7 linked regions of the Danio rerio genome follow. The protein of the gene in region 1 purifies or fractionates together with the protein of each later gene. This does not show direct contact. Links are inferred from orthologs where the notes say so. Each region holds a gene or a part of one and is shown in the gene's direction. Other genes may lie near its edges. The genes, in order: polr3b, si:ch211-140b10.6, gpn1, polr3c, polr2h, polr3g and uxt.

Region 1 (3,500 bases):
TTAAGTTTATTTATTGCTGTATTGTTTCAATATATATTTTTTATTGTTTTAAATTTTGTCTTTACATTTTAGATTAATATTTATTTTACATCAAATTAGTTTCCTTATTTATTCACAACATTATTTTTGTATGTGAGAATTTACTTTTCATCCATCCCTAGATATCTCAATATCTACGTTGGGATGCCTGATGTAGAAGAAAGCTTTAATGTAACCAGACCAGTGTCTCCACATGAGGTAACATCTTTGTTGATCTGTGCCAAAATTTACTAATATTATAGGTGAAACGCTTTATCTGTCAATTTTAAACTTTTTCATAAGGTATGTTTTCAGTGTGATGGAAAAGAAAACATCCAGAATACACTTAAATGGTATTTTGTCACACTTTATCAATTTTACATAAACAAAATACATTTTAAATACAATTAATATTTAAAAATGCCGTTTCTCAAAATTAGTATTTTCCTCCTGCACTGAGCCACTTTAATTAATAACTATATTCTGAAGGTTTTTACAGAGGGATTTGTTCATAAATAATTTGGCTTATTATGTGTTTTGTTTGACCGCAAAATTGTGTAAATAATTATTTTTCTCTCAAAAATTCCCTCTATTAAAAACATTTGGCTCCAACTGAAAGCAATTTGATTCTGACTTCATCCAGTTTTCAGATGTTGGTGATTTGATTTTAATTTGATTCATTTATTTTGAACAGTATAATCCACTCTTAAAAACAATAGTTCAAGCACAAATACATTACATCATAATTAACAGAACATCTTCATATGAGCAATTCCATGTAGATGTCAACCTTGCCATGAAAAAAAGTTTTTACCAAAATAATGAAATCACTTCTACATATTTATGTGTAGGCAAGTATTTTACAGTTTAAAAATGCTCAAAAATGTCTTTGAAAATGTTTTCAAACAAATATTTTTGAATTACCAAAGTCACACAAGTGGGAATTTTACATCGGCCACATCCATAACGGTGAGATGTCAAATCCATAGCCAAGCTTTTCCCTCATAAATTTAAACTTTTAAAATAAATAAATGATTTTTGTTTTATAGTAAACAACTCTTATCTTTTGATTAGCATAGTTTCTTTTGGGCTGTGCAGTTTAATTCACACAATTTCTACAAAGTGTATTATTAAGAGTTCAATGCAAAACTCTCTAAAGTGCTGTCTGAAATTTCCACAAAAATGTAGCTTTTTTCAGCCTCCTATGTTTATTAGCACTTTAAAGACCATGAATAGAATTTGTTTCTTGTCATAAAAGGGAAATTACTGAACCTACACGCAGGAGCCTGATAAAAATGCTCATTTTTAAAAAAAATTTTAGATGGCATTTAGAGGTTTTTGCATCTAAACTCTTCATATACTATCTATGTAAATTTATATGGCCAATTTGCATAATTAAAAAACATTTTATAAAACATGATGCAAAATAATCCTTGTAATTCGTAATATAAACATTCAACTAGGGGAAAAGGGTAACAACTAGGGCTAAACGATATCGTTTGAGCATCGATATTGCAATGGGTGTATCTGCAAGAGTCGCATTGCATTATTTGATTATTGATTAAAGGATAAAGATATTATTGTATAAAGGTATTTATACAATGTTAACCATGTCACTTAACATTTGGTTGTTCAGGTTTTATGTTTTAATACTGTTAGACTCCCCCAAAAAACCATAAAGCACCTTTTTTTCACATTTATGTTTGCTCTGTCATTTTTAAATGTGCTTGTAATATATTGTTTTTAAGATGATGGACTGCATAGAAAAAGCCTTGATCACCCTAGTCCAGGGGTACCCAAACTCTGTCCTGAAGGGCTGGTGTCCTGCATATTTTAGTTCCAGTCCCTATTAAACACACTTGAACCAGCTAATCAAGCTCTTTCTAGGTATACAAAAACATCCAGGCAGGTGTGTTGAAGGAAGTTGGAGCTAAACTATGCAGGACATCTGCCCTCCAGGACAGAGTTGGCACCCCTGCCATAGTTGATCTAATTAATGAAATCTTTCCTAATAGAGCTAATCAAATCATCTGGTGAAAATATGTTCATACTGCAATATATATTGCAGCAAAACAAAATATTCGCAATGTCAGATTTTTTCAAAAGCATGCAGCCCTTGTAACAACACCTGTAGTTTCTTGCCTTGAGACAAACTTTAATAAAGCAAAAAAATAGGATTATACTGTAACATTTGTTTAATATGATTTTGCTTATGGATCACTAGTGTCGTCTGAGAGATATGACCTATTCAGCCCCCATCACTGTGGATATAGAGTACACCCGAGGCAGTCAGAGAATCATCCGCAACGCTCTCCCCATTGGAAGGTACTACATCTGGCCTAAATCTTTGCGTACACCTCTTAATATGCATCTACTTTTCCCTTGCAACTTCAAATGCTCTTTGTCTCCTTGTTTAATAGGATGCCAATAATGCTGCGAAGCTCCAACTGTGTCTTGACAGGAAAGACCCCAATGGAGTTCTCCAAGCTCAACGAATGTCCCCTGGATCCAGGTAGATTATTTATGAAGACCTTAATGATATTTCACTGTTTATATGCCATAGTATAATGCAGAAAATCCCCTCTGAAGGCCATATGGGGTATACGTATGATACTGTGTTTGTCTGTGTGCAGGTGGTTATTTCATTGTGAAAGGGCAAGAAAAGGTCATTCTCATTCAGGAGCAGTTATCCAAGAACCGCATCATTGTGGATCAAGATCGCAAAGGGACCGTAGGAGCGTCAGTCACCAGGTGCTGGGATTTGCTCGTCTGCGTATTTAGCGTTCGCAATAATAAAGTTGATTTAAATTGGTGCTGTTATGCTATGTTTGGATGCTAACTTTTATGTATTGTGTAGCTGAATGTGAAATGAAAAGATAATCGAACTGTTGTCTCCAAAACCAATTGCTGGTTTACTGAATTGTTATGAAGAATGTTAATGTAGGTTTGTAACAAATTAGCATTCTACCCATTAAGCTTACGATGGCTCTGATATTTTTGTAATAATTTCTGAAGATATTATCGTGGTATATGGTATGTTTACAATTTTGAGAAGCTAAATAGGGGAATTTTAAAGGGATAGTTCACTCAAAAAATAAAAATGTTAATAATTTAGACACTTTTTGTGCTAAACACAAAGTAGGATGTTTGAAAGAAGGTCAAACAGGATTTATCATCCACACACTGCCATAGTAATTATTTTTCTAACTATGGGGGTAAATTGGTTGAGAGATCTATTGATTACTTGACATTCTTTCATATATCTTCCAAAGATCTTTCTTTGAGTTGCAGAACAAAGACATTTATATAGGTGGGAACATCCTGAAGGTAAATAAATGATCTTTTTTTGGTGAACTGTTCCTTTGAGAGATGTAATAACAAAAACATCTTTACATTGTTGCATATTTCTTTATTGTATGTACATTTTCAGAGTTAGCTAAAGTTTGAAATGCAAATAGGATTATAAAGTACAGTAGTTAACA
Region 2 (4,021 bases), on another chromosome or scaffold:
TTATTGCTCACAAGTGACTTAGAATTAAGATATTTGATCAAGTTTTTTTTAATTATAAGCATTAAAACATAACACTATGTATTAATAAAAATTCAGACACAAACTATATCCAAGACCATTACAATAAGTGCAAAAAGCCACATCCAGAAATAATATTAAAACAAAAACATAACAAGTAAAAATATTAAATTAAATATAACTAGTAATAAAAAAAAAAGATTGGCACACAATCAGACTACAGTGAGGGATCAGTACCAGAAAAAAAAACTTCATGAAATCTAACATCAAGTCATTTTTTTGTTATTAATTTGCATTAGAAACTTTTTCAAAGTTTCCATTTCTAATAAAAATTAATAGCATTTTGGTATACACTTCGCAAACTTCTGTTTATGAATAAAATATTAACCTTGTAGCATGTAAAAATTAACAACATACCAACATACTCTAATGAGTGTGTGTGTGTGTGTGTGTGTGTGTGTGTGCGTGCGTGCGTGCGTGCGTGCGTGTGTGTGTGTGTAAAGAGCAAATACAATCTTTTAACATGTATTTGCCCAAATAACACGTCACTAACATCATACTAAAATGTAAGAGACATCACAGTTATAGAAAAGATGTGATAAGTGTGCAAGTATTGTCAACATTCATGTATTTAGATAAGATAAAAAGAGATTAATTGATTTATTTATTATTTTATTTATTATTTTTTTATTATTATTAAACAGCAGCAAATATACAATTTAAACATGACATCCAAAACTACAAATGTAACCTATAACATAAAATAAACTAAAATATAAATTACATAAGTTAAATAAATAAAAAGACTGTAAAGATATTATGTCATGTAATGCGCTTTGGGATCATGTAATGACGTAAAGAACCGTCGGAACATGTTGAACTGTTCCATTCAGAGCTGCTGTTCAAATGAACCATTTGATGAAATGACTCTGATTTTTTCACTACCGTTCGTTTGACAGGCTGCAGACGGCGCTGTTAGTCGAATATCAGTTGTGACCATCGAGATGCCTGATTAAAGTGCGATCGTAAAACCTATTATTAAGTCAAATAATAAACTAAAATAGACTGTTTAAATGTACGTACTTTTTGTTCCAAGTGCAGATAGTTTCTACATTTTTAGTTTGAATTTTACTGTCTGCTCACTTCCGCAAATTTAGTCAAAACTAAGATGGTCAAGCGGACCGGGGTCCTAAATTGGGTCCTCGAGAATAGTAAACACTAACGTTACTGGTTAGCAAGCTGGAACAAGCTATAAATTAACAGTGACTGCGGTTTAAGGTTAATTAGATCATGGAAGACAGTGAACTGGAAAGGTATGATATTTCTAAATGTCAATTTTCCCCCTTTTGACCAGTTTATTGGACTAGTTTACGATGCAGAATATGCTAACGCCCTCGGCTTCGTGCAAATTGGTCAGTAAATTTGTGTAAACCAAAACCTGAGACGAAGCACCATACTTTTGTTATATAGCAAACATTTCGGTATCCTAGAAAAGTCTATTTTGCACCGTCAGAGATTTAAACGTGCTATTTAATTTGGGGTCACGGTAATACATAAATTAACCCGTTTCTGTCGTCAAATGTCTCACTGTAAATAATTTCCCCAGAAAAGCAGTGGAGGAGCTCCTTAAAGAAGCGAACAGAGCAAAAGCCCGTGTCGAGACAATGGGTCCTGCTGGATGGTAAGTTTGGATCACTAAATTGATAAATTACAGATATTTAAAGTGACCAATTTGAAGTCTTTTTCTATTATTAGTAACCACTATTGCCCCCACTCTTTTACACACACGCGCACACACACAAGGGTGTAACTTTGGTTTTCGGATGTGAACTTAAACCTGTGTATGTATATATACAGTACTGAGTACACCCCTTAAAGATCTGTATTTTAAATTAATATGTAGTATAAAATGCTTTACAGTAATGCATTTTGCACAAACTCTTTAGATTTTAAGGTACAAAAGCCAAAACTGTGACTAATCAAATATGCTTTTCACAATAATCAATATATCGACTTATCGCACAACACATTGACATGACATCTATCATTTTTGGTGATGTAATATATATTGCCCATATATAAAAGTCAATTCTAGCAACATTTTAGCTGATGGTGCAACCTCTTTATGTTACTGTAGTATATTTTCATGCAGGTGTCTGACAACTGAAAATAGATCTGGTAGCAGATCTTGCAGCCTCTGTTACTTTTTACATTGCACTTTTTACTACTATTTATTCAGGATATGTGTTTTCACATGCTGATTCCCCTGCCTCATTATTAAAGTTAAAATGACTATAAATTAAATGAAACATCCTTAAGAATAAAATATTATGTGGTCTTTAGAAGAGTGTACTTGCATTTTGATGTTATTATATTGTCATTTTGGCATTATATAATAAGTGGCATAAAATGGTCTCAAAATGACAATATTGTTCATCATAATATATGTTGGTGCAATATATCATACAAGAAAAAATAGATATTATGACAAGCTTATAATTAAAAAAAACTATTTAAGATCACAGTGCAAAAATCAGTACACCTTAATTAATATACTGGGGGAAAATATTAAATAATATATTAATAAACGGGAAAAATACTTTTTTTTTTTTTTTTTTGCAAAAACTTGTTTGATTGTAAGTGTATTATTTTCTATCCTCGAAGGTGTTAAATGACTGAACCATATAACTGTTCTGTTTAAATAAACCAAAGATGATTGGCTGTATTCATTGGAAAATGGCTAGAAGAAATATTTATTTTTAATTGGGTGTAATCGTTTTTACTGGTGTTTTTACGGGAGAATCTTGTGGGAGTGCGGTAACAAAAGTGTCAAATGACTAATAATTGTAGAACATTTGAGCTGGCTTCAGTCCTTAGTTCTTTCATTTTCCTTTTCATTTTATTAAAATATATGTATTTAACTTGTTTGTTAATTAAATACAGTTCTGTCATTTAACCTATTATTTTTATGCAACAGTCAAGTTGCATGCTAATTTGCTCTGTGAAGGTTACGCGATTTATGTTTAAAATGTTGGTTATCGTCCTCCAAATCAAAAGATGTATGTACAGTATGTATGTATGTATAGACATTTACATTAGATGTTGCCTACGCTTTTTTCATCTATTGAAAGGAATTTGTCGATAGAGTCGCCATTTTAGTACAGGGTAGCGCTTCTTTAAAATGAATGTGGGTTCAAGGTGCAGCGGAGGACTGGCCATCCATATATACACATATACACATTTATTTACGATCGGGGGGTTTTCCATTGGTCAGTATGCAAATATTTTATGAAATTACAAAAATTATAAGTTTACATCACTTTTCTATATTGATGGATAAATGATTGCATGGGCATTCCTGGCAAAGAGTGTGTGATTGTGTGCATGGAAATGTATTATCTACCCTCCCTGTTTAATTTGATCTAATTCATGTCCTTAAACACACCCCCTCTCCTGCTTTCACTTTTCATTCCAACGGAGGGAGGGATTCGTTTGTGAATGAATCTCTGTTAAGAAGGACTTGATCACTTAGTTGACAATAATACAAGTTTTCACAGCAGCACCTTCTTGTTATATTTCATTTACATTGTTATCTCATTTTATTCAACAAAACTAGCATAAGTCTAGAATTGAGTGCCAGTTTGTAACATACAAAAACATAAAAAACGAAATCTTACCTATGAAATGTTCTGCCTTTGTGCTTGGTTTTCTTTGTTTGCTTGTTACTACACCCGTAAGCAGTGCTAAAGTCCAGCATCTTCACATTGGCTTTAGTCTTGATTAGTGCAGTTGAATGATGTCCTGGGAGCACTGTACAAATGTGGCGGCGCAATTGACGCATGCTCAGGAACCATATGCGATAGTGTATATATCTATGGAATGTATGTATGTATGTATGTATGTATGTATGTGTGTAATTAACTACTATATATGTCTCCTAAAGCTGCTTAAATTGCCGTTTTGTTTTAGGATGAAATGTCCACTGGGAAGCACAAACAAGCGC
Region 3 (4,056 bases), on another chromosome or scaffold:
CCATGAAGAAGAGCAGAGCCGTATGGAAAAAAACACAAGTCGTCAGTGTTTGTGTTGATGCAGACAAGATAGATATAAGAGCTATTTTTGGTATATACAAACGGTGCCAGTAAATGCTTTTTAATCTGACTCAGGTCTCTCAGTTAACGACAAAAGCAGTAACAGAGAAAATGCATACGACACATATGTTTACTTATTTAATAATACTAGGTAGATAATTCTTGTAAAGAAACATTTGAGGTCATATTTTTGAGGTCATAAGTAAAACTAAATATTTTATGACAAATACACTTTTATTACTCTTCTAAATGTGCATAGATAAATGAAGACAAATAATGCATTACATGCATTTACATTTGCTTATTATTATTACTATTATTTTATTTTTTATTTTTTTTAACTAACTTAGATAATATTTTCACATCAATGTTCAGCATCGGGCCGACATTGGATTTTGCTAACTTTCTAACGCAACCTAAAAACAACAAAACATTAACGTCTAATGATGTTACATGACGTTGTGTGGACGTTATGTGACGTCTATGTTGGATTTTGGTTGCCATACCTGAGGGATAAATGTTAATATTTGACGCCAATATGGCGTTGGTTTAAGATGTTGGCTCGACGTTGGATTTTGGTCACTTTCCAACACAACCTAAAATAAACAAAATATCAACATTTCACGTCATTATTGGAGGTCAAAATAGCATTGTCCTTGAACGCTGGCGACCTAAATCTAACCTAATATTTACGTCTTATGATGCTGTGTGTCTGCTGGGTTGTGTTAGTTTAATTATTGGATTATTGTCGCTTTTTTGCAGGGGAAATGCTCACACCCATTTAAAGTAAAGACACACACACACACACACACACACACACAATAATTTCTGTGCTGTAAATTTACAATTGTATTTTTCCACATTACTGCAAAATGCTGACATATATGGATATTGATAATTGTTATGAATTCATTAATTTTCTTATCGGCTTAGTCCCTTTATTAATCTGCGGTTACCACAGCGGAATGAACGTTTTACGCAGTGGATGCCCTTCCAGCTGCAACCCATCACTGGGAAACACATTTACGTTCGAACCACTCGAACCCCCCTGTTATATTTATAAATTTGCTGATCATTTTGTCATTTAGTCACGTTTTATAAAGAGCAAACAAATCCTATTGACTCTGCTGCTCTCTAGTGGTCATAAGTCGCTACGCCAGAATGTTTTTCGTCTCTTTACGTCAGTAAACATTACTTGACGGTAAGTGTAGCAGCATGGCGACAGCAGCAGCAGGAAACAACGATGGAGCATCATGTGAAAGTGATAACATTAAAAATAGAGATCAAGATGATGAACCGACACCGAGCCAGAGTTCGTCTAACGAACACAGTACAGAACCGAAACCGGTGTGTCTCATAGTTCTGGGCATGGCAGGGTCAGGAAAAACTACTTTTGTGCAGGTAAGACTGACAGCGATACGATGGTGATAACAGATGTCTTAAATTATAATGATTTAACATTCACTTGACTAGATTACGATTCTGCCAATGTTATGTGTGATAATTGTGATGAGATAAACTGACAGTCGCCCAACTCCAATACTACGCATTAACTCGAGTCAGATTTTAACAAATTTCAAGTCATTTCTTTTTTTTTTCTCCAGAGGCTCACAGCTTACCTGCACTCCAAGAAAACTCCTCCATATGTCATCAATTTAGATCCTGCTGTTCACGAGGTCCCTTTTCCTGCCAACATCGGTAAGTCACATTAACGTTGCCCGTATTTCTATATAACTAAACGCTGCTGTTTGTTGATCCAGAGCAGGTGGCGCGAAAATCACTCACAGAGACCAACGATGACAGGATTAGTACATTGTTTACTTTTTTGTTTTGTTTTAAGAAACGCCAGACTAATTTGATAAAAGCTGTTGAATTATTGTCAACATGCATAATCACGTTGTTTTTGTGTGTGTTTAGCACTTTTAATAAAAACTAAATAATACACAAAATATTCTAGTGTGCACGTGTTTAATGTGACAAGACGTACGATATTTTAAAATAAAAAAATACTAGAACAATGTTTTGTATTTTGCTGAATTTTTACTATTTTTTACAAAATTGTGCCCAAATGTTTTAAAAGAATGGTCAAATCTAGAGAAATAAGCAGTTTTAGCTAGTGACATGGATCATATCCTGGGCTGCCTTCCACTCCACTTTTATGCCTTGTTTCCACTGAGTGTTATGATTCTGTACCCATCACCTTTTGGCCCATTTCCACTGAGTGGTGTAGTTCGGTTCTGTATGGGTCACCTTTTGGCCAGATTCCACTGAGTGTTATGGTTTGGTACAGTGCTTTTTTTGTTCATTTTCATTGGCTATTTCTCAATTTCAAGAACGCAGAGAACAGACTTGCGTTCTAGTGAAGACTGGTCTTGCCAGGTCACCTCAGAAGAACGAACTCAGGAGACCACGAGAACACGGAACATGTCCTGTAAGAAATGAGATGCTGTGTTCTTCCTGATGGTCTCATGACCTTCATGCATTTTTATTGGAAATTATTTAAACATTACAGCATTCAAACAACGATTTATTGTTTTTCCCCTTTTCACAATATAGACCTTACAAGCATACATTACACAATACAAATAAAACAGATTTTAATACGAATTTCAGCAAATAAACACCCTTAATGTGTTTACGCCTTTATTAAGATTTTAATGTTAATGCTTACTTTCACCGTCTCATTTAGGGAAACTCCTGAGATAAATAAGTTCTCTGAACTTTAATAATAAATCTATATAAAATGCTGCACTTCCCACCTTCAGTCACTATGACTTCTGGGACTTCTAGAGCGAGGTCAGTGCTCAAGTCTGCATCGATACCAAGAACACATCTACAAACTTTCACTCGTCCTCTGGTCTTGAGGTCTTGAGTTTTGGAACTGAACTTTGGCAGTCGATGATGACGTAACACAAGGACACAAGACCGCTGAAGAACGCATATTGAGAAACGGCCACTGTCAAAGGTACCAAAAAAACTAACCGTGCCCACCACTTAAAGGGGGAAGCCAGAGTGCAGCCAAATGCTATTGGTTTACTAGCACTTGCCACAAGCCAGGAGAATGAAAACACAAGAAGAGGCATTTTTAAATACACAGCTCAGATACTACAAAGTAATAATAATGCATATACCCGAGCTTAAACAAAAACAAAGCTTGCCATCCTTTTGTGACAGCCACATGCCAAGAAGCAAGAACAGAATCTGCTGTGTCTTCCATTACTGTTCACGAGGTCGTCCAAAAGCATGTAGAAAGCAAGGCTTGTTTTTGTTTTGATACCTCTGACAGTGGAAATGCACAAAAAAAAGGTATATAATACTATACCGCACCTAACCACTCAATGTGAAAGGGTCATTAGGCACACACTCACAGACTTCCCTTCCCTTGTTCCCTTGGGGGAATCCTCATTTTAAAGTGTGTTTCAATTCAAGTGAACAAGGGAAGCTTATACGGACATACTTATGATCCCTCGATTTTGACCAAAGCAGCGAGTCTCCTACATATTTCCACTCAAGCGTCTGCATGTCCTAAAATATCCTATATTTTTTCAGTTGGAAAAAGTGGATCAGAATCTGCAGGAACTTCTGGTTCACGCTGACTTTATTAATATATGGAAAATGATATGGATTAGGTTAATGAGTTATGATATTGTTGGACTTAATGAGCTATTGTTGAAGTTTTGAGAACATTTTAACATCCAAAAAAATTGCAGCACTGTTAAGCCAGAACTGTTTTTGATGCAGTGGCGAGGCCAGAAATTTTAAAATGAGCCAGTTCCACCTCAGCCTCTATGAAGGTTTTTGATGTAACATTTAGATTATATTTAATCTTTTGCAGCATGTAGCACCACATTTTCTTTCGGGATTTGAGATCAGCCAATGGAACGGCAAAAAATTAATAACTCTGGGTTGTTTTTGCCAATTTAAGGGATAGTCGTTAACATTTCCTAACATGTACTCAATTTCTACTGTTGAACCCAAAACAAGATATTCTGAAAAT
Region 4 (4,169 bases), on another chromosome or scaffold:
CTACTCATCCTCACCGGGACAATCTAATGACCTACTGACACACTGACCACCAAGTGCTAAATGTTGACGTTCATTGCAGAATTTGTGATATAATTTACGGCAAATGCGACATTATAAACAAGTAAAACAGAAACAGAAACATTAGCACTCCGGTTTCACTTCTGAGAAGAGTTCAGTGTCGATGTGATTTAAGGACATTTCTGAAAGTTTCTAAAAGCTGACATTAATAACTGAACACTTATCAAAACTGAACATGTCGTGAAATGTGAAAAAGTCATCATTTACAGTACAAAAACACAAGAAATGAGTGTAGCATTGGTGCTAAACACAAAACCTGTTGGTTTCCGCTTATGTTACGTTAACAAGCACCTGTCTAACATCTAATAAAACCGGTCATCGGTAAATACATGTGTTTTTTAGTGTTTATACACAAACAACAAACCACGACAGGCCTTTCGCCCACATCAGGCTGATACACTGCTAACATGCTAACTTTAGCACAACAGCGGAACCTGCGAGAGCGACAGCAGAACTACAGAAAGACATTAACTTGAGCCGGCTGCGCGCTACCAGCGACACGGACTCACCGGTAGTTTGGGACTCACTTCACCCTTACAACAGTGACAGAAGAAGCGATGCGGAGGGACCGCAGCAGCCTCCGCCATGTTTTCTGTGAGACTGCCTGTGTCCCAAACAGCAACAGCAGCAGCAGCGCTGGCCGAGCGTCGGTCCGCCCACTGCAGAGGGAGGTGCTTTGGCAATGAGCACTCAGTAGTGCGAGTCATTGAGGCGAGTCGACTCACTCAGGGGAGTCGTTTGACTGAGCTGATCAAAACAACATACTGAGTCAAAATTATTTACATAAGGCTGTGTGAAGTGTGCGTTTTACTAGTATTACAGGGATCAGAGAGGGCTTTATTCGAGAACAATGTAAAATTAAAACAAAAAAAGACCATTACATATTATTATATATGCTATTATGTCAGTCTAATATTATATGTTAGCATGTAATTCACCTAATTGAACTTTACTCTGATAATTGTAGTTCACTCCAAAAAAATATTCTTCTACCTACAAACCTGTTTGACTTCTGACAAACAAAACAAAAACTACTTAAATAGTATTTTTTCCTGAAACTGATATTTCCTAACATTTTTTTTTTCAAAATACCCTTTTGTTTATTCAAATAAAAAAAAGTAATTTCATAAAAAACACCCGAGTGTGAGTAAACAGTGATTCATTTTTCATTATTCATTCGGTTCTTTTGATCCGCAAAAAGATTCCGTTCATGATAGCGATTCACTCAAGCTTCACACACCAGAGCTCCGCCTCCACGTGATCAAACCACGGAAATTCGTCAGTGCTTGTCGTTGCACACCGTCTGGACAACACACGTGAGATCAAAAAGTGTGAACTCATCTAAATAACACATACGGATATCTAGATAACTTACTTTTTAGAGGTAAGTTTGTCTTTAAGCATGTGCATCTGTGCTTTGTTTAGCCTTTGTGAGATGTTTGCTTTGTGGAAAGGCCAGACAACAACTAATTCTGCGCTAATCCAGTGTTAGTAGCCAGTCAAAACGCAAATATGAATGTTTACTTTTGCACTTTGTTGACAAAATGTTTTGTTTTTAAACTGATGCTTTTAGTTATAGCTTGTGTAGCTTGTGTTTCTAGTAACTCCATGTATAGTTACAAGACTTTACATGTATTTTTGATGGTTACAGGTAAACGTTACAGATTAAGGAGGAAAACTGTAATATTAAAATTGTGAGCAGTTTTATTAATAAGGAAATGTGGGTAGACCATAAATAACACGAAATCATGTATGTAAACATTAATAACTGATAACATATTAGTCAACATATTCATCAAAGTTGATTCACTAAATGTTGACAACTGTATGCACACATTGAAAAATGATTACATTAAGTGACTGAACAAGAACATCAAGTGCATGAACAATATTTGATTTGCCTTTTTAGTTGCTGACCTATAGAAAACTACATATGAGGCATATACAAAGGTGCTCTGTACAAATTAGATTTAATGATTTCCAAATATATGAGACATTCTACCAGAAACATACATTTTTATTTATAAAATAAATGACAGGGCCTGACCTTTAAGCTTGTCTTCCTCAAAAAAATAAATAAATAAATAAATAATTAAAATAAAAAATAAAACAGTTTAATGATAGAATGTATCCTTGATGTCTGCTTCCCCATCAAATGATGCCACTTCCAAGTCATAGCCTTAAAGGTGTATAGCACACATTTTATGTTAAATTTAAGGCAAATGTGACAGGACTGACAGAAACATGGGGACAATTGTAAAAGTATTTGTAATATATATTTGTAGTAATTATTTGTAGACTTTATAATTTCATGTTTTTAATCAGTTTACGTGTATGATAGCAACTTAAACTTGCTATTTCTGAAGTTTTTCTTTTTTCTAAATAACAGTTTTTAGCATCACAAAATTATTAAACCTGAACGTTCAATTTGGCTGAGGACAATGACAAGGTTTGTACATTTGTAAAGTGTTTTTAATAAAGAACAAAAATCTGAGATCCTTACAAAAATCTTACTTTGCCTGGTTCAGCATATTGTGTGCTGTTCTGTCTTGTTATCCATTCTCAGCATCTCTGGTCTCTGTTAAAATCCCAGGCTTTGTAATATTTTCCCACAAGTGACATTTTGGAAATTGATTGCAATGCGTTTTGTGTGCAAGTCTGAAACAAGAATAGGCTGGAAAAAAACTAATTGTGCAATTAGAGCAAAAAAACCAACCAACACTAGTTTGCAAGTTGACATGTCTAAAAAGAATTATACATTATTCATAGATAAATTGACTACAGATTGTGATTTGATTGTTGCTCTCTGTCCTACAGATGACAGCACAGGAGGTGCGTCTGTGTGGGCTGTTGCTGCAGGAGCACTTTGGTGATGTGGTGGAAAATGTGGGCACTCATCTCATCCGCAATGGAGTTCTGACCTTGAGAGCTCTTGCCCATGAGACCAAACTGGCTCTTGACCTGGTAATGTCACTATTTAAAGCTTTCTTTGATAGCTTAAAAAATAAGATTCTCTTGGATGTGTGGTTTGTTAGGATAGGATATCCATTGTTTCCAAAATCCAAACAGAATAAAACTATTAAAAAAAAAAATTGGAATCTGAAATGTTTATATTTTTTAAGAGCCCATATTATACATGAAATAGGGCTGTAAGGGTCTCCAACAACAGTCTAATATGCATGCAAGGTCAAAAAACACTTTCATGGTCTTATAATTTGCATTTATTTTTACATAATTATCCCAGCGACTACCATATGAATCGTCCAGTGATTCATTTGTTCCCAAACCCCTCCTTAGCTTGAAACTAATCTGCGCTGATTGGACCGATGACAGTCTGTTGCGATTGGTCGACACTGACTACCTTCAGCGAGAGACAGTGAAATGCCCAGCAGCTAATCAACAATATAGAAGTAGTCACAGTGCATACACACTTCATATTGTAAGGTGTGGATTTTAGCTGCCAGTGGGTGAATGTAAATACAGGCGATGGACTTGAAAATACCAACGACTAACTATTTTATTGAGCAAAAACTCCAAGAATTGGCGAGGAGATCTCCTAGCTTGTCACACTCTGCTCTTTTCACACACACACACACACACACACACACACACACACACACACACACACACACACACACACACACACACACACACATAATCCTCCTCCGGACGACAACGCGCACACACACACACACATTACCCTCCTCCACAGAGGTCCGCAAACAAAGCGGCACGCGTCACATTTTTTAACGTGGCTTTGCACACGATACGAGAATATAGCGAGTTAACCTGATACAGTACAAGCGGTTATAAGTAACAAATCATAACTAAATACATTTGCAAGCTAGAGTAAACGAGGCAACAACTTTAATCGCACGTACTTACACTTAAGAAATGGAGGAAGAAACCGATCCATGTCCTGGCATGTCCATCAGCAGTCTTTACTGATCCTTTCTTTAACAAACGACCGATGAAGTATTCTTTGTAGCATGTAGTTTCCAGTAGTTTCCAACTGCTCAATGCCGGGCTAATGCTGAGGTTTCATCTTTGGGTAGAGACTCAATAATTTCCGTCTGCAGTCTGACTTCAAT
Region 5 (3,934 bases), on another chromosome or scaffold:
AGATTTGTAGTAATTTGTGCTTCGAATCTTTGAATTTCGTGGTTAATGGGAAATCGCTGCATTATTTTTTTAGTAACGTTTATTAAAGTAATATTAACATAGTAATAGTGACAAAGCACTTGTTTTAATATTGATATATGCTAATATTGATAAACAAATAACAATTAAACAAAACTAAGAATTTATGAAAAAAATGCTTTATTAAAACAATCATGTTTATTCATAATTTAAATTCTCATTTAAACTATTTATGGTTATGAATAACTAAACTAAAATAAATAAATTATATATATTTATAATATATTTTATATTTACTTACTAACTTTTATATTCATATTAACCTTTATTAAAGCAATTTTACATGACAAATATTACATGCATTTCTGTACATATTTATAACATACAAAGTTGTATTTTAATATGTATTGTTAAAAAATTATTAAATTATAAATATGTACACAAAACATTAATAAATACAAAGTCAGTTTTGACAAAGATAATAATAATAAAAATAATAATGATGATAATAATAATTTTATTAATGATAATAATAATAATAACATATTATGTATATGCATAATATGTTGTTATTATTATTATCATTATTGTATATATATATATATATATATATATATATATATAAAATATGCATTAATCTGGTATTTATGCAGGTATGTTCACTATTATGGAGGACGGATTAGAATGTGGACAGATTAATAATTAAATTAATAACATGGTTATGGGGCATTTATTTGCGTATTAATTAATTTATTATTTTATTTATGCAGAAATGTGTATATTAATTAATTAATTAATTTATTTATTAATTTGCGTATTTATGCATTTATTGTTTTATTTATACAGGAATTTGTGTACTTATTTATTAATAAGTTAGTTAATTTATTTGCTTATTTATTTTTTTATTTATGCACGAATTTGAGTATATTTTTATTTATTTATTTATTTGCGTATTTCTTTGTTTATTTATTTATTTACTTATTGTTTATGCAGGTTTAATCCTCCATATACTATTAAATAAACAAACAAATAAATAAACAAATAAACAGGCAAAAAAAAAATAAAAAGATCGAATACGCTACTGTCGTAAAAAGCGCGCCACGAACCGGAAGTAGTAGTGAATCAAGTGACCAGAGACGAAGCACATTGTTTCGCGGCATGTTTCATATTTGTGTTGAACGAAAAGAAAGTTGCTTCATTTTACAGTAGTTTTATTATTAATATTTCTGAGCTGGGACGAGTTTACGCACAGTGTATCTGCAGGAAGTGCACCAGAAAGCGCTTATTCAAAACAGCATTCAGCAGGAGAGTGTTTGAATGAAGCGTCTCCGTCGAGTTTTGTGTTGATTTCTACATAATTTAGTTTTCAGCGGGATTTTAATTCACCAAACTGAGCATTTAGTGTATCCTGCTGGAGTATAAATGGCTGGGATTCTGTTCGAGGATATCTTTGATGTGAAGGATATCGATCCTGATGGGAAGAAGTTTGACAGAGGTGATTCATTCATTCACTTATTTATTTACTGGATAAAACAAAAGTCTCTTCAATGTGTTTTATAACGTTAGTTATTGATAAAACTTACAAACAGCATGAAGATTTAGATTGAGGAAAAGTTGGTTTATATTCGCACATTCCTTCATTTAACGTTCTCCATGCTCACATGTAAATCACATGTAAACATACATGACTTCACTATTTAAAGTTTGCAAATTATACTTTTATTTAATGATATTATTAAGGAGAAAGTCTAAATGTGCGTATATAAAACTACCTCAATAAGGTTTATTTGTTGGTTCGATTATTTATCACACAATAATAATTAGACTTATTGTATACTTATTAATACTACTTTAATGATGGAAGTTGAAGAGCTTAAAACTTTTTAATTTTTAATTTAGCTCATTTTCTTGATCATATATATTTAATATTTATTTTAAATGGAAAAATATGAATATATTAAATTAAAAATGTATTTTTTTACATTGTCAATGTCAATTTAAATGCAAATAAAACAATTTTATTGTTATTACTATTATTAATAATATTAATTATTATTTGAGATTTTTTTAATATATATTCTCTTTAATATTCTTTTTGTTGATGCTGCCTAAATAATATGCAGTGATCAAAATTAAAAATAAAATCAAAACATACTGCGTAAAAGGCATATCTGAAGGCAGAGCCGTTTATTTAATTACTGTTTTTATATATAGAGGTAAAGTTGGTTTTATATTTGCACATTCGTTCATTTTGCAGTCTCTATATTGTTGACCATGTTACTTTGAGTTTTCGATCGGAATTAGCACGCAAGTATGACTTGTAAACAACATTAACACTGTTTATCTGAATGTGAACAATGTTGTACTTTGATAGTCATTTGCTGCTAACATGATTTCCCTATATTTAGTATTGGCAAATAATACTTTTTCTTAAAATATTATTAAGGAGAAAGTCTGAATATATCCGAATATAAAACCAACTTTACCTCTGAAGATTTTTTTTTATCATACAATAATAATCAAGCTTATTGCATATTTATAAATACTACTTTAATAATGGATGTTGAAGAGCTTAAAGTTTTAATTTAACTTGTACATTTACTTGATCATATATATTTAATATTTACTTTAAATGGAAAAAATATTAATATATTAAATAAAAATTAATAGTATATTTTTACATTGTCTAAATGTCAATTTAAATGCAAATAAAACAATATTATTATTACTATTAATAATAAGTGTTTTTAGTACTTAGAATTTTTAAATCTATATTCTTTAATATTCTTTTTGTTGATGCTACCTAAATAATATATAGTGATTAAAATAAAAATAAAATCAAAACAAACTGCGTAAAAGGCATATCAGAAGGCAGAGATGTTTATTTAATTACTTTATTTATTTATTTATTTATTTATTTTTTTTTTTTATAAATCAACCACTATTATTTTTCCCCCCTAAAAGTCTAGAATTCACTAAACACTCTTGATTTGTTGTTTTGTATTTGTGATGATCAGTGTCTCGTCTTCACTGTGAAAGTGAGTCTTTCAAGATGGACCTCATCCTGGACGTCAACATCCAGATTTACCCTGTTGATCTTGGTAAGTCACTGTTCTTGCTCTCTGTGTTGTTCTCTGGGCTGCATAGAGGTAAAGTTGGTTTTATATTCACACATTCAATCAATGATGTCATGTGCAAACAACCTATAATCCATTACCTTTTTACATTTTCATATTGTTACTTGTCTACTTATCTGTTAATTTGGTCATTGCATAAATAAATGATTAAAAAAAACAAACAAATAAAGTAATTTCTCCAGTGTTTTGTTCAGACGAACGAAATTGTATGATTATAAAAAAGGAGGCGTGGCACCTAACCCCACCCCTAAACCTAACCGTCATTTGGAGATGAGCAAATCGTACTAAAATGTATGAATTAGATCGTTCGAATTCGTACGAATTAGCCACTAAATGAAAAAGTTACGAATTGCCGTGAGATTGTGTTGGTTTTATCAGCACTCCAACAGTATTTACATGTTTTTCCGGTATCCTGCTGCCCTAGTGATGATAATGTTGTGTTGCTGTCATATGCTAATGAGGATGATGTCATTGTGTCAGGTGACAAGTTCAGACTGGTGATCGCCAGCACTCTTTATGAGGACGGGACGCCGGACGATGGAGAATACAATCCTCAAGACGACCGGCCGTCCAGGTCATACATTACTCCTAAACTAAATCTTAGATATTTCATGTCTACGATCAAATCAAATCAGGCCTTTATTTACACATACACTTTCGTATAGTGAAATAGAACCCCAAAAATGTAAATTAATTACTAATGACATCATTAAAGTTGTTTAAATGACTTTTCTAGTGTCATGACTGATGGGCAACTTTTTTTAATCAATGAGGAATTG
Region 6 (4,089 bases), on another chromosome or scaffold:
CTAAATAAATAAAAAAAAGAGGAAACCAAACACATCAGAGTTGCTTGTCTCGAGAACAATTATGCATAGATTTCCTTAATGCATAATTTAAAATACTGTTAAAAATAAATAACAATAAATGACTGTAAATTACAAATAATTAAATAATAAATGAATAAATACATCCTTTATATAAACAGTGCATTATGCCCTGTTTTATGTTCTTGCATTTACAGTTGCATAACAATTAAATACACTACTTGAAACTATTGATTTAATTAAGTTTTATAGTTTAAAAGAAAATAAATTACATATGATTGCTCAAATTCATGTAGCAGTTCAATAATTCATTTTTTTTAATCCACCTTTCAAGAAAATCTAAATTAACATATTTGAAATGTTATTTTATGTGCATTACTGAACAATCTCATTCTGTATTTTATGAACATTTCCTGCTTGTTATCAAACTATTTCATAACTGTAAAAGAGGCACTTCAACCATATCATAATGTTAAAACCGCTGTCATAACATTATTTATCAATATGTGGCTCTTTTTGGATTCTCGGAAGCTATACAAGTTAAACATGTAAAACAGGAAATATGCTAAGACCATTGTTTTTGTTTACATCCTTCAAAAATACTACAAAGGGACATATTATATTGATTGACAGTTTTGCATCACTATTCATGACATCACCATCCAGTGACATCACAGTGTAGTCCTCACATCCTCATAGTGTTTAGCATGTATAAGCAATATGGATTGAAAAGTAGTCAACAACATCCTAGCTATTGGTTCTTAGATGCCAGCTAACAAATCTTGACACTATGCAATTAAAACGACATGTATCTCACTGTTATATTATATTACATAATATTTGCTTGTTGGGCGACGCAGTGGCACAGTAGGTAGTGCTGTCACCTCACAGCAAGAAGGTCGCTGGTTCAAGCCTCAGCTGGGTCGGTTGGCATTCCAGTATGGAGTCTGCATGTTCTCCCAGCATTCGCGTGGGTTTCCTCCGGGTGCTCAGGTTTCCATAACAGTCCAAAGACATGTGGTACAGGTGAATTGGGTAGGTCAAATTGTCCGTAGTGTATGAGTGGGAATGAGAGTGTATGGATGTTTCCCAGGGAGGGGTTTGGCTAGAATGGCATTCGCTGCGTAAAAACATGCTGGATAAGTTGGCGGTTCATTCCGCTGTGGTGACCCCAGGTTAATAAATGGACTAAGCCGACAAGAAAATGAGTGAATGAATATTTGCTTGTTTATTAAACTAATATAAAATTATTTCATCCAAATGATTTTAGAGAAAATTTATCTGATCAGAAATGGCTGGAAAGGGAAGAGGTGTAGCAGCATTCTCCTTCAACATAGAGTCCCTGGGTCTAACCAGAGGATCCATGCCTGAAACCCAAAGAGGACCAGCTCCACTCTTCCCAGTGAGCTATTCTGAACCATTTGTTATTATTCTTCCATCAATTTCCCAAATGGATATTTCTCTTTCCATCCATTCTTTCTCAAAACTTTAAAAATCTGATTCAGCAAGGTCAGAAAGTGTTTATTCAGAAGGTTCAGTTTTAAAGACACACGACTCCACCTTACAGCAAATCGAATATAAACCGGGGCCTTTGAAAGCTGGCGAAGATGAAGATTATATGAGAGCTTTGAAACAAGAGATGAGAGGACGAATGAAGGACCTTCCTTTTAACATAAAGCACCATGCAGGAAAGGGAGGTGAGATGGAGCTTTTATTTAATTTTAGGAACACACAATACCTATTGCCTCCTACAACGAGTCTAATAATTTAGATAATTGTAAAATTAGATGAGTATGAGTTAATGCACTGGGGGCAATGCTATGTTTTAACTCACCTAGAAACAATAAATCCATTTAACTATATGTTTAAGTGAAATAGTATAACTGATATGGTATAGTTTGACCATGAGTCACAACTACTGTATATGAAGAGTTTGGATGCAAAAAAAGTGTTGTCTGAAATTTCCATCAGAAATGAACGTTTTTCTCAGCCTCTTTTTCTTTTTTATTTTGTAAGATATTTTACTTTCAAGACCAGGAAAAGGGCTCATTCTTTGCCATAAAAGTGATATTACTGAACATACACACAGGAGACTGATAAAAATACTCATTTTAGATGAAAATTTCAGATGGCATTTAGAGGTTTTTGCATCTTAACTCTTCATATATTTATTATTGTAAGCATATCAGTATTTTTCACGATGTTATTGTGTGTGATTTAAAGATGTGGAGAGGTACAAGGAAAAATACACGCGGGAAATAAAGAAACTTGAAGATGAAGACTGGACACCAGGTATTCATTTAAATGAAATAGGCTAAATAGGGCTGGGCGATTTAATGGAAAAGTAATTGAAATCGAAAGCTTTAGAACCTATAATCGATATATGATTTATAACGATCTAATTTTTATAGGTCAGTTTTTTTTTTTCAATTACTTTCCCTGTCATGTGTGGAGTCATGTGACCTCGCTCTGTTAGCCACACTTTGCAGCCACATCTGATCTCTGGTCAAGTAGGACGATGGATCCATTCTTGAGCCATACTTTGGACTATGTTGACGATAATTGGAAGCTGTGCCAGAGATGCCTTGATGGCATATTTTCCATTACATTCAAATGATTATTTACATTAAAATATTTGTTTATAGAAGATGCAAGAAATGCCCTGTTTAAAATATTATTTACAGGATATGAAAGTTATTTTATTTAGAAGAGATACTGCTTATTTCCTACTTTTTTATATGAAAAACACTGAAAATATTTTTTTTTGTTTTTCAAATAAGTTATTTTCACTTTTTATAAGAAAAAAAGTGACTGTTTGTTTTAAACAATGTGTGTTTTAATTTTAGTTGTTCAACATTGATGTTCAATAAATAATCATAGATAGTAGATAGTGTTTCATTCAATTATTATTATTTTTTAAATCAAGTAATACACCCTTCATTCAAATATTACTTACTTGTAATATGTGAGCATATTTACTGTAGAAAACCTGTCAGTGAACCTTGAGGACAAAATAATAAAACAAATTAATCAAATATTTGGTCATTAATGGTAATAGTTAAAATGTTTCTTCAAATCGACCAGCCCTAAGGCTGAGTAATTTCAACTAAATTGTAGATATTCTTTGTAGATTGGAATCGTCTTCCGAAGGAGCTAAAACCACAGAAGAGCATAAAGAAGAAGAAAAGGGGTAATTGTATCGAGATGTAGAATCCCTAAACAAACTGCAGTTTTGAATGACTCATACACTTAAATACTTTCAGATCTGAAGAAATCCGTAAAAATCTCTACTAAGGACAAAGAAGAAGTGCTGAATAAGTTGGATGTGAGCTCGTGCTGTTTTCATCTTCTCGATTTACTGTAAACAGATATTTTTGGTTGGAGCCATCTCATTTGCGCTTGTTTTTATTTCCAGGAACTTGAGAAGAAGGGAGATGTCAAATCTGATGAGGAGGATGAAGTGAAGAAAGAAAAGAAAGAGGATGACGAGGAAGGAGAGGAAGCAGAAATTGAAGGAGACTATGATGAAGAGTTTGAAGAGGTATACGCTTTTATTTCAGGGAGCATTTTTATTTATTGTTTGTTGAATACATGTAATAGGCATCCAAACATGGCTAAAACTTGGCTAAAATAAGGCTACATTTGACCCTTGACACGTCTTACATTTTACTTTTCTGTCAAATACCATTAAGATATTAAAATTGATATTAAAATATGAAATTGATATTAAGGATTTTTTTCTTTGGTAAATTTCCCATGGTAAATATATTAGAATCAAGTTTGGTTTAATGGATATTGCTAAGCACATAATTTAGTCAAATTTTAAGGTTATTTTCTCAATCTTTTGATTTTTACAATCTCTCAGATTCCAGATTTTCAAGTAGTTGCATAGACTAAATCATCTCAAACTGAATTCCTGGAGGGATGAAGGTGTTCATGACTAAATCTGGAATATGAGGGTTTGTAAAAATTTAAATATTGAGAAAAAAACCTTTATTGGGTTTGAGACCTATGGACTAAATATTGTCTTATCCCAGGGGTGTCCAAAGTCGGCCCTGGAGGGGCAGTGTA
Region 7 (3,947 bases), on another chromosome or scaffold:
TACAACTGGGATTGACAACAAGACTTTTGTCGGGCAGTGTAGAACAAGAATCATTTGATGACATTGTACTGAAATATCAGTGCAGCCCCCAAAATTAATTGATTTGTTAATTAGTCAGGTTTTATAAAAATTCTGAACTTAGGATTTCTCATAGTTAATTACACATGTTTATTTATTCATATAAAGGGTACTTGGAATATTTCTACACTACTTACTCAGCAATCAGAACTGATTTTATTTTAATTCTGAACGTAACAGATTGATTGATGTTGTTTCTGAACTCCAGATAGTGATTATTGTTGTTTAATGTATCTGTTTATATCTAAACACCTGTATTTTTGATTCTCACCTGTCAGACACCTGCTGCAGATCCACTTTCTTCTCATTATGGATGAGTTTAGTGATGTAATGCCGCAAAACTCCGACGAAGAATGTGATGAAGACTATGGGCAAAACAACCCAAAGGCGAATACTGGAGTCTAGCAGCAGCTCTGGACCTGCCATTTCTATGCTGACTGAAATCGAACTATAAACACTGACACTTCTAAAGTTTTTTTAAATGAATATTCAATTCTGGAATTAATACTACGATGAAAAGTCAAACGGTGGTGTAACTACATAACTTTTAGACACATTTCTGTATGAACATGCGCCATTTGAGCAGCTGCCGTATGACCTTTGAACTAGTAGCGATTCAAACACGAGTCGTTTTGATGAGTCGGATCTTTGAAATGAATTGTTCGAATCGTCTTACACCGGTTTAGGTGGTTTGTGCACGAAATGAACACTCTGAACCGAGTCTATTTTGTACCGAGTCACTTTAAAACTTGACAGTTTTTATTCGCAGACATAGTAAATACAGATATTTTATGAAATTGGGTATATATAGCTCTAATAAAATCTTTGAAGCAATCAGGTATTTTAATTAACACGTTTTGAATGAGAAAGAATTTGTTGGAAGTTGCGTCAACGCTTTAAATTATATTGTATTTACAAATATATTTGTCTTATTGAGAGAATTGTTCTAATAGGTAAACATTAATTAAATAAAAACGAAACGTAGATGTTCATTATAGGAAAACTATAAAACAAAAGTTTAGCTAACGCCATTTCCGGTTTAGACCGAGGACGTTTCCGCGTATCTTGTAAACAAGTGTGGAGCCACGTGACAGACCGAAGGAAGGTTTAGCTTCATTTAACGTACTCGATACTTCATATATTTGCTACTACAATATATTAATCTGTCATATGTAAGCTTTAATCGCTGCATCAGCCCAGCGACGTGCTGTTAATGTTTGATGCACATTAATATTAGAAACATCGATTGCTATTAAATAAAACTTCGATCTGTTATCATCTCATATCATGACTTCTGGCACATCTGTTATTAATGACAAAGTCTTGCAGTATGAGACATTCATCAGTGAAGTATTAAGACGAGACCTGCAGTAAGTATCATTTAATATGGATATTTTGCACGTACACGAAGCTGCCATGGTATTAACGTTACCATGCTTGTACGTTAATTCCATACAAATACAGCTCTATGCTAATCTATATTGTTTAAGCTAATCTATTATGAAATGCTACTATGTGTTCTGGAAACATTATGTACGCTTGTCCAAAGTACTTGTTTAAATGAGCTGAATCAACACGATTCTTGAGTTTTTTTTAGCACAACTACATTTTTTTATTTCAGTTTACTTAAATTTGTAAAAACAATAAAGTTAACTTGATCGATTTGTGTTGGGACAAGATGAAGGAATTAATAACCCTGTGGAACCCAGTATAAGGAACACTATAGTACTTTATTGTAATTTTAATGGTGTTTTTAAACAATACTATAGTAAAGTGAATTGTACTATACACACACCAGCCACTTTATTAGGTACACCTTTCAAGTCCCGGGTCGAACCCACTTTTGCCATCAAAACTTTCTTAATCCTTCGTGGCATAGATTCAACAAGGTACTGGAAATACTCCTCGGAGATTTTGGTCAATATTGACATGATAGCATCACGCAGTTGCTGCAGATTTATCGGCTGCACATTCATGATGTGAACCACCAGTTCCACCACATCCCAAAGGTGCTCTATTGGATTGATGTCTGGTGACTGTGGAGGCCATTTGAGTACAGTGAACTTATTGTCATGTTCAAGAAACCAGTCTGAGATGATTTGCGCTTTATGACATGGTGCGTCCTGCTGGAAGTAGCCATCAGAAGATGGGTACACTGTGGTCATTAGGGGTTGACAGCAACAATACTCAGGTAGGCTGTGGTGTTAAATAAATTATCCCCCACACCATTACACCATCACCACCAGCCTGAACAGTTGATGCAAGGCAGGATGGATCCATGCTTTCATGTTGTTGATGCCAAATTCTGACCCTACCATCTGAATGTGGCAGCAGAAATCAAGACTCATCAGACCAGACAACGTTTTTCCAATCTTCTATTGTCCAATTTTGGTGAGCCTGTGTGAATTGTAGCCTCAGTTTGCTTTTTTATCTGACAGCAGTGGCACCAAAGAGTGGTCTTTTACTGCTGAAGCCCATCCGCCTCAAGGTTTGATGTGTTGTGCATTCAGAGATGCTCTTCTGCATACCTCGGTTGTGACGAGTGGTTATTTGAGTTACTGTTGCCTTTCTATCAGCTTGAATCAGTCTGGCCATTCTCCTCTGACCTCTGGCATCAACAAAGCATTTGCACCCACAGAACTTTTTTTTCCCTTTGCACTATTCTCTGTAAACCCTAGAGATGGTTGTGCGTGAAAATTCCATTAGATCAGCAGTTTCTGAAATACTCAGACCAGCCCGTCTGACACCAACAACCATGCCACATTCAAAGCCTCTTAAATCACCTTTCTTCTCCATTCTGATGTTCGGTTTGAGCTGCAGCAGATCCTCTTGACCATGTCTGCATGCCTAAATGCATTGAATTGCTGTCATGTGATTGGCTGAAACTTTCGTTAACGAGCAGTTGGACAGGTGTACCTATTAAAGTGGCCGGTGAGTGTATGTATTATATTATTTAGTATATGTAAGTATATAATAAATATTGTGAACTGTTAAACTGTAATGGTGTGCTTCAGTATTTACTATAGTAAACCCTGTAGTTGTAGAAAACCACAGTATTAGTTGTTTGTTTATAATGCTATAGTTGTGTTAATAACTATAAAGTCACCACAAAATATTAATTCAAGTACTATACTATAATATGATTCAAAATACTATAGTATTTACAATAAATACATTAGTATTTTTTCATGTAAGTTCTTTTTGCTCCACCAGGAAAGTGGTGGAGCAAAAGAGATGCTGTGGATGAGAAAATACGGCAATACCTGCAGCTGAAGAACACAATATAATAAAATATAGTTCAAGAACACTATAGTATTTACCATAAATTACTATAGTATTTTTTCATTTGAGTACTCTCTGCTCTGCCAGGAAAGTGCTGGAGCAAAGAGATGCTGTGTATGAGAAAATCGCACAATACCTGCAGCTGAAGAACACAATACAAAGCATTCAGGTATGTGAGATTTGCATATGTATTTGCATATTTTGTGCTTATTCTTATGTCCTGACTTATTTGTTTTCAGATATAGTTTGTGCTGTGTAAAAAATTTTTACATTTACTATTACTGTCCATCTCAGTTGCTCTCATTCTGCCTTGTGCGCTTTTAATATGTGGCTGTGTTTGATTCACCTTCAGGAAAGCGGCAGCAAAGAACTGAAAACCGATGTTGACCTTGGCTGCAATTTCTATGTGCAGGCTCATGTGTAAGTGTTGTTTGCATGACGTCTGTGGTGCTGTGCGTCAGTGGAGATGTTGAACATTTTTTGAAAGGGCAATCTCATTTCTTTTTTTCCAGACCTGATGCATCAAGAATATATGTGGCAGTCGGATATGGATTCTTTGTCGAATTCACGCACGCAGAGGCTTTGAA

What was found.
Region 2: the proteins of polr3b (region 1) and si:ch211-140b10.6 purify together in Homo sapiens (affinity purification with mass spectrometry; 6 studies listed by BioGRID and IntAct, with this or other methods). This does not show direct contact. The link is inferred for Danio rerio from reciprocal best matches to the Homo sapiens genes POLR3B and POLR1D.
Region 3: the proteins of polr3b (region 1) and gpn1 purify together in Homo sapiens (affinity purification with mass spectrometry; 4 studies listed by BioGRID and IntAct, with this or other methods). This does not show direct contact. The link is inferred for Danio rerio from reciprocal best matches to the Homo sapiens genes POLR3B and GPN1.
Region 4: the proteins of polr3b (region 1) and polr3c fractionate together in Homo sapiens (co-fractionation; 4 studies listed by BioGRID and IntAct, with this or other methods). This does not show direct contact. The link is inferred for Danio rerio from reciprocal best matches to the Homo sapiens genes POLR3B and POLR3C.
Region 5: the proteins of polr3b (region 1) and polr2h purify together in Homo sapiens (affinity purification with mass spectrometry; 5 studies listed by BioGRID and IntAct, with this or other methods). This does not show direct contact. The link is inferred for Danio rerio from reciprocal best matches to the Homo sapiens genes POLR3B and POLR2H.
Region 6: the proteins of polr3b (region 1) and polr3g fractionate together in Homo sapiens (co-fractionation; 4 studies listed by BioGRID and IntAct, with this or other methods). This does not show direct contact. The link is inferred for Danio rerio from reciprocal best matches to the Homo sapiens genes POLR3B and POLR3G.
Region 7: the proteins of polr3b (region 1) and uxt purify together in Homo sapiens (affinity purification with mass spectrometry; 3 studies listed by BioGRID and IntAct, counting the BioPlex papers as one, with this or other methods). This does not show direct contact. The link is inferred for Danio rerio from reciprocal best matches to the Homo sapiens genes POLR3B and UXT.

The regions. Positions count from the first base shown.
Region 1 is NC_133193.1:16,768,184-16,771,683, reverse strand, and holds part of polr3b (DNA-directed RNA polymerase III subunit RPC2), read left to right. Parts: intron 1-161; coding exon 162-237; intron 238-2,242; coding exon 2,243-2,343; intron 2,344-2,438; coding exon 2,439-2,530; intron 2,531-2,651; coding exon 2,652-2,769; intron 2,770-3,500. UniProt on the Homo sapiens protein: Catalytic core component of RNA polymerase III (Pol III), a DNA-dependent RNA polymerase which synthesizes small non-coding RNAs using the four ribonucleoside triphosphates as substrates.
Region 2 is NC_133199.1:25,556,467-25,560,487, forward strand, and holds the start of si:ch211-140b10.6 (protein POLR1D-like), read left to right. Parts: upstream 1-1,221; 5' UTR 1,222-1,308; coding exon 1,309-1,331; intron 1,332-1,624; coding exon 1,625-1,699; intron 1,700-3,987; coding exon 3,988-4,021.
Region 3 is NC_133192.1:13,860,909-13,864,964, forward strand, and holds the start of gpn1 (GPN-loop GTPase 1), read left to right. Parts: upstream 1-1,256; 5' UTR 1,257-1,427; coding exon 1,428-1,460; intron 1,461-1,663; coding exon 1,664-1,757; intron 1,758-4,056. UniProt on the Homo sapiens protein: Small GTPase required for proper nuclear import of RNA polymerase II (RNAPII). May act at an RNAP assembly step prior to nuclear import.
Region 4 is NC_133191.1:14,591,516-14,595,684, forward strand, and holds the start of polr3c (DNA-directed RNA polymerase III subunit RPC3), read left to right. Parts: upstream 1-1,369; 5' UTR 1,370-1,462; intron 1,463-2,895; coding exon 2,896-3,042; intron 3,043-4,169. Other genes in the region: rnf115a (E3 ubiquitin-protein ligase RNF115), read right to left, coding at 588-785. UniProt on the Homo sapiens protein: DNA-dependent RNA polymerase catalyzes the transcription of DNA into RNA using the four ribonucleoside triphosphates as substrates.
Region 5 is NC_133197.1:38,621,830-38,625,763, reverse strand, and holds the start of polr2h (DNA-directed RNA polymerases I, II, and III subunit RPABC3), read left to right. Parts: upstream 1-1,134; 5' UTR 1,135-1,440; coding exon 1,441-1,513; intron 1,514-3,035; coding exon 3,036-3,119; intron 3,120-3,635; coding exon 3,636-3,729; intron 3,730-3,934. UniProt on the Homo sapiens protein: DNA-dependent RNA polymerase catalyzes the transcription of DNA into RNA using the four ribonucleoside triphosphates as substrates.
Region 6 is NC_133180.1:52,724,112-52,728,200, forward strand, and holds the start of polr3g (DNA-directed RNA polymerase III subunit RPC7), read left to right. Parts: upstream 1-1,289; 5' UTR 1,290-1,309; coding exon 1,310-1,420; intron 1,421-1,585; coding exon 1,586-1,715; intron 1,716-2,241; coding exon 2,242-2,310; intron 2,311-3,148; coding exon 3,149-3,213; intron 3,214-3,281; coding exon of another isoform or gene 3,282-3,289; coding exon 3,290-3,343; intron 3,344-3,433; coding exon 3,434-3,559; intron 3,560-4,089. UniProt on the Homo sapiens protein: DNA-dependent RNA polymerase catalyzes the transcription of DNA into RNA using the four ribonucleoside triphosphates as substrates.
Region 7 is NC_133183.1:10,253,194-10,257,140, forward strand, and holds the start of uxt (protein UXT), read left to right. Parts: upstream 1-1,147; 5' UTR 1,148-1,365; coding exon 1,366-1,448; intron 1,449-3,447; coding exon 3,448-3,529; intron 3,530-3,712; coding exon 3,713-3,780; intron 3,781-3,872; coding exon 3,873-3,947. Other genes in the region: zgc:86609 (ER membrane protein complex subunit 3-like), read right to left, coding at 350-504. UniProt on the Homo sapiens protein: Involved in gene transcription regulation. Acts in concert with the corepressor URI1 to regulate androgen receptor AR-mediated transcription. Together with URI1, associates with chromatin to the NKX3-1 promoter region.